Linked DNA regions of Oryzias latipes. The protein of the gene in region 3 interacts with the protein of the main gene of each other region in a pairwise test. Links are inferred from orthologs where the notes say so. Each region holds a gene or a part of one and is shown on either strand. Other genes may lie near its edges.

Region 1 (4,221 bases), on a different chromosome or scaffold from region 3:
AACGGAATGACGGCTACGGTGGCTGAGAAATGTCAACTTAGGGAAAAAACAAAAAGAAAAAATAAATAAATAAAAACTACACAAATATCCTATTTTAATACAACCAATTGTCTTGCCTGTGTTTTATCATAAAATAAGACTTTAATTAAGTACCAAGCTATAAATTAGTTGTTGCAAAAATTGCACCAGCAAAAATATGAACGTGTTGGTCAAATTATATAAGGATTCACGTAATTCAATTACATGAATCCATTTGGTAATGAAAAAAATTATTATTTTTTAAACCACTGTCACATTTATTTAGACTTTACCAAAACCAGACAGACCTTAATCATAAAATAGAATAGAACAGAATAGAATAGAATAGACTTATTTTATTGTCACTGTGTCACATGTACACGCAACAAAATTCCAGCTTTTCCTTTTTTATAATACAAGGAGTTGTGGCAGTGATCTATTCAATATTATTCTTCTCTTTCTTCTCTATTATCCTCATTTTATCATCATTATTTTTTTTAATTTTATTCTGTACTAATTTAAGGAATAAAAATGCATTTCACTGAAAATGAAGAAAAAATTACTGTATTATGTTTAGTCTAGACACTCATACCTAATGCGAACTAATCAGCAATGGTACAATCTGAAATTTGAGACACAGGATTTTGCTATAAGATATTATTAAGCGGTTTTATGCTTTGAAGGAAATGTTTGTGTATAGATAGATAGATAGATAGATAGATAGATAGATAGATAGATAGATAGATAGATAGATAGATAGATAGATAGATAGATAGATAGATAGATAGATAGATAGATAGATAGATAGATAGATAGATAGATAGATAGATAGATAGATAGATAGATGGATGGATGGATGGATGGATGGATGGATGGATGGATGGATGGATGGATGGATGGATGGATGGATGGATAGATAGATGGATGGATAGATAGATAGATAGATAGATAGATAGATAGATAGATAGATAGATAGATAGATAGATAGATAGATAGATAGATAGATAGATAGATAGATAGATAGATAGATAGATAGATAGATAGATAGATAGATAGATAGATAGATAGATAGATAGATAGATAGATAGATAGATAGATAGATAGATAGATAGATAGATAGATAGATAGATAGATAGATAGATAGATAGATAGATAGATAGATAGATGTTACACTTGGTCCTCTGTATTTATTTTTGAATTTCGTCACAGTAAAAGAACAAAAGAAAATGCTCCTGTGTTTGATAGATAGATGTTACACTTGGTCCTCTGTATTTATTTTTGAATTTCGTCACAGTAAAAGAACAAAAGAAAATGCTCCTGTGTTTGCGCATGTTTTGCGCTAGGGGGCAGTCATGTTTTAATAAGACGTGGCACCGAGTACGTAGAAAACGAAGAAGAGTCTGCGAGTAAAAATCGTGTTGCTAATCTAAGGCAGCACAAACATAACCTACCAGAATGGTAAGTTATTACTTACAAATGGACTATTTTGTAAAAATCACACACTATATAAAAATACTGACCTGTTCTTTGGCTTCAAAAATCCCATGTAACTGGTTTAAACATCGCAAATCAAGGCTAAGCTACGCTAGCAACCAATGCTAAATTGTTTTCTGCTTGTGGAACGCTGACTATACAAGTGGTTCTTTTTAAAATTATTTTCTATATAAATATATAAGGGGGGGGGGTCACCATTTCAGATACACGTTTAGTACTAAACTAAACACAAACGAATCATTATAGTTCGGAACAGAGCTTAAGTTTCTCCGCCGACACAGAAATACATTCAGACGTGTTCTTCATTTCTGAATCAATATTCCTTTTAGAATGCATTATTTTAATATATCATAGAGATCATAAATCGGACCCATTTCTACTATTTCGCAGCTTCCCTTGTCCCTTTTGAAGACGGCCCAGAACCATCCTATGGTAAGAAATAATTGCTTTTCTTTCCTCCTTCTATTCCTTATCTGGTGATTACTGGTTAAACCATTTTATTCAGTTACTTGTGGTTTTAAGATCAGGTTTTTTGTTTTGTTATTGAGATTGTTTGCATGTTTTTCTTTAAACAATAATTTTTGTGCATTTCTTTTTGAATAAAGAAAGAACCTTTTAGAAAACCATAATCACCAGCTGACCTTTTTTTCAATGAACTTTGATTTTTTTCAGCTGGTTGAACTGAAGAATGGAGAAACCTACAACGGTCATCTGGTTAGCTGTGACAACTGGATGAACATCAACTTGAGAGAAGTCATCTGCACATCCAGGGTAACAGATTTGCTCTCATGTTCTCAGTGGAGAACGATCCATAAACTGCACACCTTAAATAAAAAAAATTAGCTTAAATTTAACAGTCGCTTACCTGTTTCCTTCAGTTTTCATTCTGACTACCTTAGCCGTTTAAAGACCCACCCCAATTAAAATAGTGTATTTGTTTGGTTTGGTTTTTAACATGTTTTGTGGCATTTTTCTCATAATGACGGACATATATAAAGAAAGTTTGTAGGCAATTAGATCCATTTACGTCTTGGTTTTCCTCGTCTGAGCTGGCATCTGGCTTTAAACTGTACGTCTGTATAGCTTCAACATTCCCCACCAATTTTCTTGCACTTGGTGTTAGATTGGGGGTATGAGGGTGTGTAAGCTAGCAGGAGAGTGGAAACAAAGGGACCTTGGAAAATGCGGCAGGCTTTTTTAGGTATATTTCTAATGAACTTCTGTCACTCTGCAGAAACTGTCCTAGAAAACAAGACAAGTTTTTCATTTTGGCTTAAAGCTGCATAATGAAAAAAAACAAAATCAAAATACTGGGAATAGATCAAAAGATAATTGAAGTGAGCCTTTAAAATATAAAGACTAATGTATAATGAAGCAATGGTTTTAGTAAAACATCCTTTGATACATGTTGGAACAAAAACCTCAACGCTAATTTTTTTTGTTAGAAGAAAAAGGACTGATTATTGTTAAAGGCCCTGTACCATGCTATTCCTAAACCATTCATGGTAAAGAATATCCATATATATATTACCTTTGGCCCACAAAAGAAAGATTTTTTAAATTAAATATTAGTTACGTGGCGCAGTGGTTAGCGCAAGATCCCCCAGCCAAGTTTTGGGGACTTGGTTGCTGTTGGTCCCCCAGCCAACTGCAAGCCCAGCCAGGTCCAAGACTTGGCTGGGGGACCTGAAAAAGAACCTGTCTGTGTGGAGTTTGCATGTTCTCCCCGTGCATACGTGGGTTTTCTCCGGGGACTCCCACCTTCGTAGGTTAATTGGTTACCTTAAATTGTCCATAAGTGTGAATGCAAGTGTGCATGGGTGAGTGATTTGTGGACCTGTGACAGACTGGTGTCCTGTCCAGGAAGCCCCCTGCCTTCACCCATGAGTAGCTGGGATAGGCCCCGGCAGCCCAGTGACCCCAAAAGGGACAAAGCGGGTTTAGAAGATGAATTAAAAAATGATGAATGAATATTAGTTATTTTCCTGAGTTATTTTCCAACCTGGAAGCAAGACGACTGGATCTGAGGCACCGGCACTTCCATGATGTCAACCTATAGCCAGCATCAACAACATGTCTGTGTCTCGCCCACGAAACAAACAACATTCAAACTTTCGTAAAGATGAATGTGCATATTGAGCATGTAAAGAGAGTTTTGCCAAACACCACTAGCTTCATGGAGTGTGTGTTTTAGCCTGGGGGCGGGGCTGGCAGCGCAGACTCTTCCTGGAAGGGGCTGTTCTCACTTATCTACATCAGCTCGTGAGAACCCGCTTGTTTTTGTGGGTTAGGTGTGGCTGGTTCCTGGAGCACAGGTTTTTAGAGGAATTCTCAGAAATGCGTGAATGGGTCAATACTGGTTTGAGGTTTCTTTATAATACACCGGGAAGTTCAAAAAAGGGATTTAGCATAGACCCTTTGAAGTATACTGGTTACACTCATCGTTTGGTCTTTTTCCCACAGGATGGTGATAAGTTTTGGAGGATGCCAGAGTGCTACATCAGGGGAAGTACCATCAAGTATCTGCGAATTCCAGATGAGATTATTGACATGGTGAAGGATGAGGTGGTTTCTAAGGGTCGTGGACGTGGAGGTGCCCAGCAGAATAAGCAGCAGGGTAAAGGAAGAGGCGGAGCCGGCCGAGGTGAGAGGAAGCAACTTCTGCATTTGTTCTGTCATGATTTGCCTTAATGAGACTTAGATCAGCTT
Region 2 (4,029 bases), on a different chromosome or scaffold from region 3:
CACTGAATCCTTTAACTGAGCAACTGTTGAGTAAAGTTAGTGGACCACTACGTCACTGTGCAGCCCTATATTTGATGAAAATGAATTAAGTTAACAGTTGCAGAAAGACTCACTCTATCAAGTATGTATCTTGTAATAAAAGAATTTCCAAAACATAGGAAAATTCATAAAAGGAGTAAATGGTCCAGAGTTATCTCACCTGTTTGTTTTTTATCCTGAACTAGAGTCCACTGAGACACCGTCCACTCCACAGTTTAAGCACATTTAGTGGAATTTACCCGTGTCAACAACAGAAGACCCAGGAGCAACGTCTTAACTTTCTCAAAAACAAAACAAAAGAACTTTTGAATTAATAATTATTTTAAAGATAAAACTGTGTACATTCAGTTGTGATTCGTTGCTATAGAGTTTTCTGTTTCAGATCAAGTTCGTAAACCATGATGAGTAAAGAAGCTGAAAAGATTTGTTAAAACATCTGAGTGCTCGACACTGCCCCCGTGTGGTCTTTCATCAGAATACAGAAAGAACTCTTGAAACAAAACGGTCACAATTGTGTTCATTTTCTGATTTTTATTGCATCAAACTGTAGATAAAATCAGAAAGACATTGGAGAAGAAACAGAATAAAACTCCAAATGGCACTGGAGACCAAAGGTTCTTTAAATTAGAAGACGTAAACAATAAATATATCCAGTTTTCATACAGAAAACTTTCAGCATTAAAGCATGAAAAGCATGCTTTCCTTTGACCAGTATAGAAAAACACAATTTCTTTACAAAGATTAATATCGTTATTAATATAGTTTAGGTTCTATGTTTTTATTACGACCCTACGTTTTTTTTTTGTTTTTTTTTGGTGGCCCTAAAACTCCGTCGTAATTTATAAAAGAACATTGAGGAACAAACTTAATCCTGATTAAAAACTCTTGCAGCAAATTATAGACATTTCAGGTTTGTGTTTGTGTGTGTTTTTAAATCACAGTAAAGGTCTGCATACTACAAAAAAATAAAGTTTTGAGGTACAAAAAGTATCACAAACATGTCTGGTAGCTAGACTAGAAGCTAGACTAAATCTGAATTAGACTTTTGATATTTTATTCAATTTTTTAAGAGATGGCTCATAATGTTTTTTATGTCTTTTTTTTTTAAAGAAATATGAGTGAAAGCCTAAATTTAAATCTCGGTCAATGAAAAACACCTGATAGTTCCTTAATAAACATTGAACGACAGTGTGTCTCCCTCTAGTGGCGCAAAGTGGTACTCACTCACCGCTGAAACACGGCGCAGGCTGATACGTCATCAACAGCAGCCAAACCTTCTGTAGAACACCACAGCCAAAATGGTAAGGCGTAAATCGTCATTTTAAAATGTACTTTTTTAGTTTAAGTCAAACATTTTAGGTTTCTGAGTGTCAGAATTCTTCTGAATTTCTTTTGTTTTGTCGCTGAGTTTGCTCGCAGTGTGCTGAGCCGCTTTGTCGGCCCATCATCGTGCTAACATCGTCTTTTTTTTAAAAAAAATCTACAGCTTTTCTACTCGTTTTTCAAGTCTTTGGTTGGGAAGGACGTGGTGGTGGAGCTGAAAAACGACCTCAGGTTGGTTTTGATAACTCAACATACCAATTTGTTTGGTAATGTTTCTTTTCAAAGCGCCGTTTGTGGTTAAAAATGGCGCGTGGTTCTGCTAGCGCTGTTTGAATGGGTGCAGTGAAGAGCTACTTAGCATTGACAGAGACATTGACTCTGTCAGAGTTGCTGTCTTTCCTTCTAGCTGGTGTTTTGCATCTCATGCTGGTCACAGTGGCGTGGGGTTGCCATCCCTTCCTTCCAGCATTTGTTGCAAATCTGGCTCAATAGGTTGGTGCCAGCAGCGTGAAAAATGTACTTTTTTTCCTGTTAGTTTTCTGAGCTAACTCTTGGTCTGCAAACGTGCTGCAAATTCATTTTAGACCTTTTTCCCGAAGAAGTAGGGTCAATTGCGGGGGTGGGGGTGGGGGGTCAATCAAACTAGCTGCATCTCATGATGAAAGCTCAAAAGTAAATATTAAAATTAGCTTACAGTTAGTTGTTGGGCATTCTTTAAAGACGTAACTCATAATTCTTAGCTCCTCTCACAGATGGACGATACTTAGACATGTGGTACTTTTTTTAAAAACCCATCCAAATGAAAAAAGTGGTTTTGATGCCATAAGCTCCCTGCTCTGCTCCATTCTGATGCATCCACTTGCAGGCAAATAGATTTGTCCGTCTTTGTTTTCCTGGTCTGAGCTGGCACAAATAACTGTACGGCTGGATTGCTCCAATATTACTTTTTTTTTCTTTTTTGTTGCACACCTAATGTTGGGTTAAGGGGGGGGGGTTGTAAGTTAGCAAAGGATGATGGGAAGATGGGGCAGGCTTGCTCTGCACCAACGATCTCAGACAAATTTCTAGTGAACAACTGCTGCTCTGCAGAAACTGTCCTAGAAAACGACGCAGGTTTTTTTTTTATTTTTGGCTAAAAACAGCACATTTAAAGACCACTAGGAGCGCTTTAAAAAGATAAGAGTGGGATATAAGAAAAAACAGACTTTCCTGCAGCATTGACAATAGAAATAAATTTACTGAACAAAAACTTTGACTTGTTCAATACAAATTTGCATATTCCCAGAAAGTCATTTAACATCAAAAGTTCACTGTTGCATTGAAAGCTTCATTTTCTCTTTTTCCCCCCAGTATCTGTGGGACGCTTCATTCTGTTGATCAGGTTAGAAAATAATTAATTCTTTACTTTTTTTAATTAATCAATGTATTGGTTTGCAATTTAAAAATGTTGTTCTTGTCATCATCTAGTACCTGAACATCAAGTTGACCGACATCAGTGTGACAGACCCAGAGAAGTATCCACACATGGCAAGTCCTCATCTATGGTTTACTTTTTAGTCTAAAGTTTGCATAGAGGCCTCTAAAACATACAGTTGTTTTTATTCTTTTATTTCCTTCTGTCAGTATAACAAACATTTTTAAAGTTGTCTGCTGGGTGAGAAATGTAGAAGCACACCTTTGGAAGTTCAGTTTCAGTGTAGGGCAGAGCAGACAGCAGTTCTTCAGGTAAACAGCAAAGATTTAGAAACATTTTTCAGAGTTTCTAAACTACAATTTTTCAGAAAAACATTTAAAAATATGCAGAAGTTCTACACTCACTGCCCACTTTATTAGGCGCACCTTGCTAGTACTGGGTTGGACCCCATTTTGCCTTCAGAACTGCCTTAATCCTTGGTGGCAGAGATTCAACAAAGTTCTGGAAACATTTCTCAGAGAGTTTGGTCCATATTGACATGACAGCATCACACGGTTGCTGCAGATTTGTCGGCTGCACATCCATGATGCCAATCTCCCGTTCCACCACATCCCAAAGGTGATCTATTGGGTTGAGATCTGGTGACTGTGGAGACCATCGAGTCCAGAGAACTCATTATTAATAGATGATTTCAGCTTTGCTGCGTTCAAAATCACTTAAATCACCTTTTTTCCTCATTCTGATGCTCGGGTTGAACAGCAGCAGATCATCTTGACCATGTCTAAATGCATTGATTTGCTGTCATGTGATTGGCTGGTTGGAAATTTGTGATAACGAGCAGATGGACAGGTGTGCCTAATAAAGTGGCAGGTGAGTGTAAATGTGGTTATTTGACCCGTGAGAGTGGTGGGAAAAAGAGAAGTGTTAGCTTCTGAATCCCCTTGGATGTGTTCATTCTCTTCCTCTGGAAGGCGCCCTGCCTGACTCCGTGTCTCACGTGTTTCACGCTCTCCAGCTGTCTGTGAAAAACTGTTTCATCCGCGGCTCGGTGGTCCGGTACGTTCAGCTGCCGGCAGACGAGGTGGACACTCAGCTGCTTCAGGACGCCGCTCGGAAGGAAGCCATGCAGCAGAAGCAGTGACCGGGGCTGCGGGTTCGGGGAGGGGGGCTTTAAGTCATGGGTTCTTTATAGTTCAGTTTGAAGAAGACCGCTGTGAACCGCCTCCACACACTGCGCCGGTCGATGGAGAATT
Region 3 (4,045 bases):
GTCAGCACAGCCAGAATTCCTACTAAAGGAGTAATGGATGGTGAGTTTTCTATTTAACAAATTGAAGGATTTTTAAGTTCACCTTATGGTTCTAATAAATATGGCAAGGGTCACTTAGCTCTAATTTTTTTTTGTTGATTTGATTTACAAATGTTGGCTGTTATGCACCTCAAATGCTAAAATATCTATTTTTAATCACTGCTGACATTACACTTCTACATTTGCTGGATTGAGAGGATCCCATGTGAAACAGGACACTTATTGAGAGGAAGTCACATGAACCTCCATCAAAAGTTTAAACTACCGGTATTTTAAAAAAAAAGCTATTTTCTCTTTATATTTTTTTATTTATGCCAAATAACAGTTCATCTATATTTATCATATTAGTATCCAAGACAAATTAGTCTTAAAAAAATAAAAAAATAAAGACTTTGACTCCTACTGGGGCGTGGTCATTGAGACATCAACCCAAATGGCTCTTTATGTGCTGAAGGTTGCAGAACCCTGCTATAGGTTAAGAAAAAAATAAATAAAAAAAAATAAAAAAGTATACGGGGTACATATAAAGATGACTGTAAAACGCATAGCTTCTCTTACACGTCACTTTATTCTAGCAGCTAATGAGGGAAATTGATCAGTATCTGAAAGATCATCCCTATAACAGAATTAACGTTTTGATTAGCCAATAGGAAGCCAGTCAAGTCACCAATAAATACTTAAATGACTAAACGCACCGCTTTCTGTGTACTTGCAGATTAAACCTTCAAAGACAAAAGATTTTTCAAGCAGGCTTTAGTAAGTGAAACTCAATTGTTTTAATGGAGAACAGGAGTGTTAGTCACTAGCAGACCCACCATCTCCAAATAAAAAGTTCACGTCATTATGATGATTGATGACAAAGTGCTGCTGTAAAAAGGCCGTCAAGTTGTAACCATTTGCTTAAACAGTTCTTACATCCCCATACAATTTAAATGAAACTATTAAGAAAAGAAAAAAAAGCAAAACAAAACAATGCAGTATTGTGCCTTACATGATTCTAGCCACAAAACAAAAGACACCCTTCAGTTAAACATAAAATCCATTTGTCTTATACAAACTAAAAGGCTTGTAAAGGGTTCAATACTCGTCCAAATTATCAGCTTTGGGTATGGAAAGGCCTCTGTCCTTCAGAGCTTGCATTTTGACTTTCTCCGTTTCCTGTTTGGCCTGCTGCTGCAACCGCTGCTCCTCCAGGATCTCCTCAATTGAAACCTGCTGCAAGACTGTGTCGCAGGGCTTATCCAAATCCTGCACAGGACACAGGAGAGTGAGGTCAAATCTTATGATCCGAAAATGTCATCAAGTTCTTTTAGGCTCTGTGCATCATTCCATGACACTAACAAAAGTTGCTAGTACTCAATGCTATGGCCTGCTCATAGTTTTGCCCAAAAAGATGCTTAAACTCCGTGGTTCAAGGACCCACGAAAAACTTGTGTGACACAAGTTCGAATGGTAAGCCACAAGCTCCCTGCACCACTCTATTCTGATGCATCCATTGTAGACAAAACGATGCATGTGCCTCTTTGTTTCCCTCATCGGAGCTGAGATCTGGCTCCAAACTATGGCTGGATAGCTCTAATATTGTTGCCGTATTCATTTCTACCACCATCATGTTAGGTTGGGGTTGTGAGGTAAACTAGCAGCAATCCTGCAATCATTTGTGTAATCATTGGTAATCTAAATTATAATTAAGAAAAAAAAAAGTAAGAAGAAGTATGCATTGTATTTATATGGAAAGAGCAAAGATTGACAATCCTCACCACTTTTCCCACCCGCTTTTCTTTTATATCATATTGAAAACCAGGAGAGAAAAATAAAAAATCTGGCTAGACCAAACAGCAAATTTGAAAAAGTTGTAAAATTAAGCCTTTTTTGTTTTTGCTAAGTAACCTTAACATGGAGGTACCTTTACAGTCAATGTGTGCGCAATTTCCTTTTTAAGCAAGTATTCATTTAGGCAGCAACTTTTCAAAAAAAAAAGTTTATAACTGTAGTAACTATATAAAGTAACAATTTACTTGCATATAAATTTAACTTGATCTTTAAATAAGAGTCACATCATTTTCTGCAGTGCGAGACCTGGATGCTTGACCACATTCAGAGTTTGATGTTTGGTGCTGTACGGAGCATCTGAGAACAAGTTCACGTAAATAAAACTTGATCCAGAAATTACATTCAAGTTTAGAACAAACTAAAAAATTGCTCTAAAACACTTACTATTTCCCCAAGCAGGACTACATTTTCTCCCCTGACGATGAAGATACCTCTGGGAATATCTCCAAATTTCTTTCCCACGTGGATACGCTCCACCGTCTGATGAAAGACTAAATTGGCTGTGGAACAAAAAAAAAAAAAAAAGAAAGAAACAAACAAATTTAGGACTATTGAAACACCGCGTAATCATATAAAAATAAAAAAATAAACCCGCATGGAAGAGTTTAGAAGATTCTCATTTTTTATTACCAAACTGATCGATGCTTCTCAGGTAACCGATTAGTGTTCTGCCATCTCGCAGCAGGACCAAGTGCTTTTCTGCGAAATTAAAAACATTTAAAAAAAATCTGCGTCCACACGGCACACGCTAATACATTGTGTCGTTTGTTTATGATTAAAAAAAGCAATTTCTATAAGGCCCAACTTACTGTCAATATCGTCAATGAGACTGGCCGTCCCTGGTACGTAATTCATGTTTAGTTGCAGTTTTCACGCGTTTAGTTGATTTCTGAACCATCAAGCCATGAATGTTTTTACCCGTTTCTATTTGACGGTGCACAGGAAGTGCTTTTATACACTTCCTGTAAACATTTAACCCCTTCCGCACCGTAATTGCGCATAGCTCGAATTTTCTAAAAATAACTGTGTAAAAATGATTTAAACAAAAGTATCATACATTTTATGATACAAAAAGAATTTTCTATAAAACATGTTTGGATTAAATGTCCCCATTTGATGATGGATGGTAACCCTTCCAACGCATGTGCCACATCAAAGATCGTAAATGAAAATTTTGAAAAGTTGCGTCACATGTTTAAAAAATACAACTGCTACAGGAGTAATTCAATAGTTGGTCTTAGCAGTAAAATATATTGAAAATAAATATCTTTAATTAAAAATATTCTAATTGTGTTCCCCGTTTCTGCGTTTTGCAATTGTAAGGTTTCATCCAGCAATTTCGATCAGAAAGTTTTAGAGAGTGACTCCTCTTTACTTGTAATGGTTCTACTCGACTTAAAGACGCAGTACCATGTCTCCAGAGTTCCGCGTCATTTATTCATTTCTTGGTTGCAATCAGGCGATCCTGACTTCTGCGGGGAAGCTGCTGCTTTGATCAGCTGTCAGATTTCTAGCGGAACCGTAAACTAGTGATAGTCTTGCTTATTTTGGAAGATGGCAAAATACGTGTAACTGATGCAGAAACCCCAAATGCAGCCAAACGGGAAAACTGGCTGGCCCTCTACTAACTCGGGAAATAGTCACGGAAGCTGCAGTAACACTATGGTAAGCGAGCAGATTAATTAAAAAAAACTTTACTGGGGGGAGGGGGTGACAGATCATATTGTGCTTTAAAGAAACAAAGATTAATTTAAAATCTCCCAACAATAAAATCCGTTTGTTCGTTCGTGCAGAAGTTCTTCGCAATGTTCATCATGCTAGCTTCATAGCTAATATAGCTAGCGGGCATTATGTAATAGTTACTGCTAGCTTATTAGTTAAGTCCTTGTTTTTAAATTACATTGACTCGAAAATATCGATTTAACACAACACTTCTGCACGTTAGGAGATCGTAGCGATCATATAGAGTTTCATGAGTTAATCATTGGTTTAGCTCAAATTATTTCATTCATTTAAACACAAGTTAACATCCATTTATTTAGTTTTCTAGAAAGACACGAGTATATGTTTATCAATGCGTTTATCATTTAAGTTTCTCAGCATCAAGTTCTCCATATCTCTATTTGAGATTTAGGATAGCTACACAAAATGGGTTGGATCACATAAAGTGAGT

The links.
Region 1: the proteins of lsm1 (region 3) and lsm4 interact in binary tests that used the Homo sapiens proteins (3 or more experiments, as listed by UniProt). The link is inferred for Oryzias latipes from reciprocal best matches to the Homo sapiens genes LSM1 and LSM4.
Region 2: the proteins of lsm1 (region 3) and lsm2 interact in binary tests that used the Homo sapiens proteins (3 or more experiments, as listed by UniProt). The link is inferred for Oryzias latipes from reciprocal best matches to the Homo sapiens genes LSM1 and LSM2.

Annotation. Positions count from the first base shown.
Region 1 is NC_019862.2:13,834,433-13,838,653, reverse strand, and holds the start of lsm4 (U6 snRNA-associated Sm-like protein LSm4), read left to right. Parts: upstream 1-1,353; 5' UTR 1,354-1,473; coding exon 1,474-1,476; intron 1,477-1,902; coding exon 1,903-1,944; intron 1,945-2,184; coding exon 2,185-2,283; intron 2,284-3,975; coding exon 3,976-4,156; intron 4,157-4,221. UniProt on the Homo sapiens protein: Plays a role in pre-mRNA splicing as component of the U4/U6-U5 tri-snRNP complex that is involved in spliceosome assembly, and as component of the precatalytic spliceosome (spliceosome B complex).
Region 2 is NC_019862.2:27,136,775-27,140,803, forward strand, and holds the start of lsm2 (U6 snRNA-associated Sm-like protein LSm2), read left to right. Parts: upstream 1-1,219; 5' UTR 1,220-1,337; coding exon 1,338-1,340; intron 1,341-1,525; coding exon 1,526-1,593; intron 1,594-2,712; coding exon 2,713-2,743; intron 2,744-2,829; coding exon 2,830-2,889; intron 2,890-3,791; coding exon 3,792-3,917; 3' UTR 3,918-4,029. UniProt on the Homo sapiens protein: Plays a role in pre-mRNA splicing as component of the U4/U6-U5 tri-snRNP complex that is involved in spliceosome assembly, and as component of the precatalytic spliceosome (spliceosome B complex).
Region 3 is NC_019867.2:18,635,757-18,639,801, reverse strand, and holds lsm1 (U6 snRNA-associated Sm-like protein LSm1), read right to left. Parts: upstream 2,818-4,045; 5' UTR 2,728-2,817; coding exon 2,682-2,727; intron 2,572-2,681; coding exon 2,503-2,571; intron 2,373-2,502; coding exon 2,257-2,372; intron 1,288-2,256; coding exon 1,117-1,287; 3' UTR 589-1,116; downstream 1-588. Other genes in the region: bag4 (BAG family molecular chaperone regulator 4), read left to right, coding at 3,448-3,537. UniProt on the Homo sapiens protein: Plays a role in the degradation of histone mRNAs, the only eukaryotic mRNAs that are not polyadenylated. Probably also part of an LSm subunits-containing complex involved in the general process of mRNA degradation.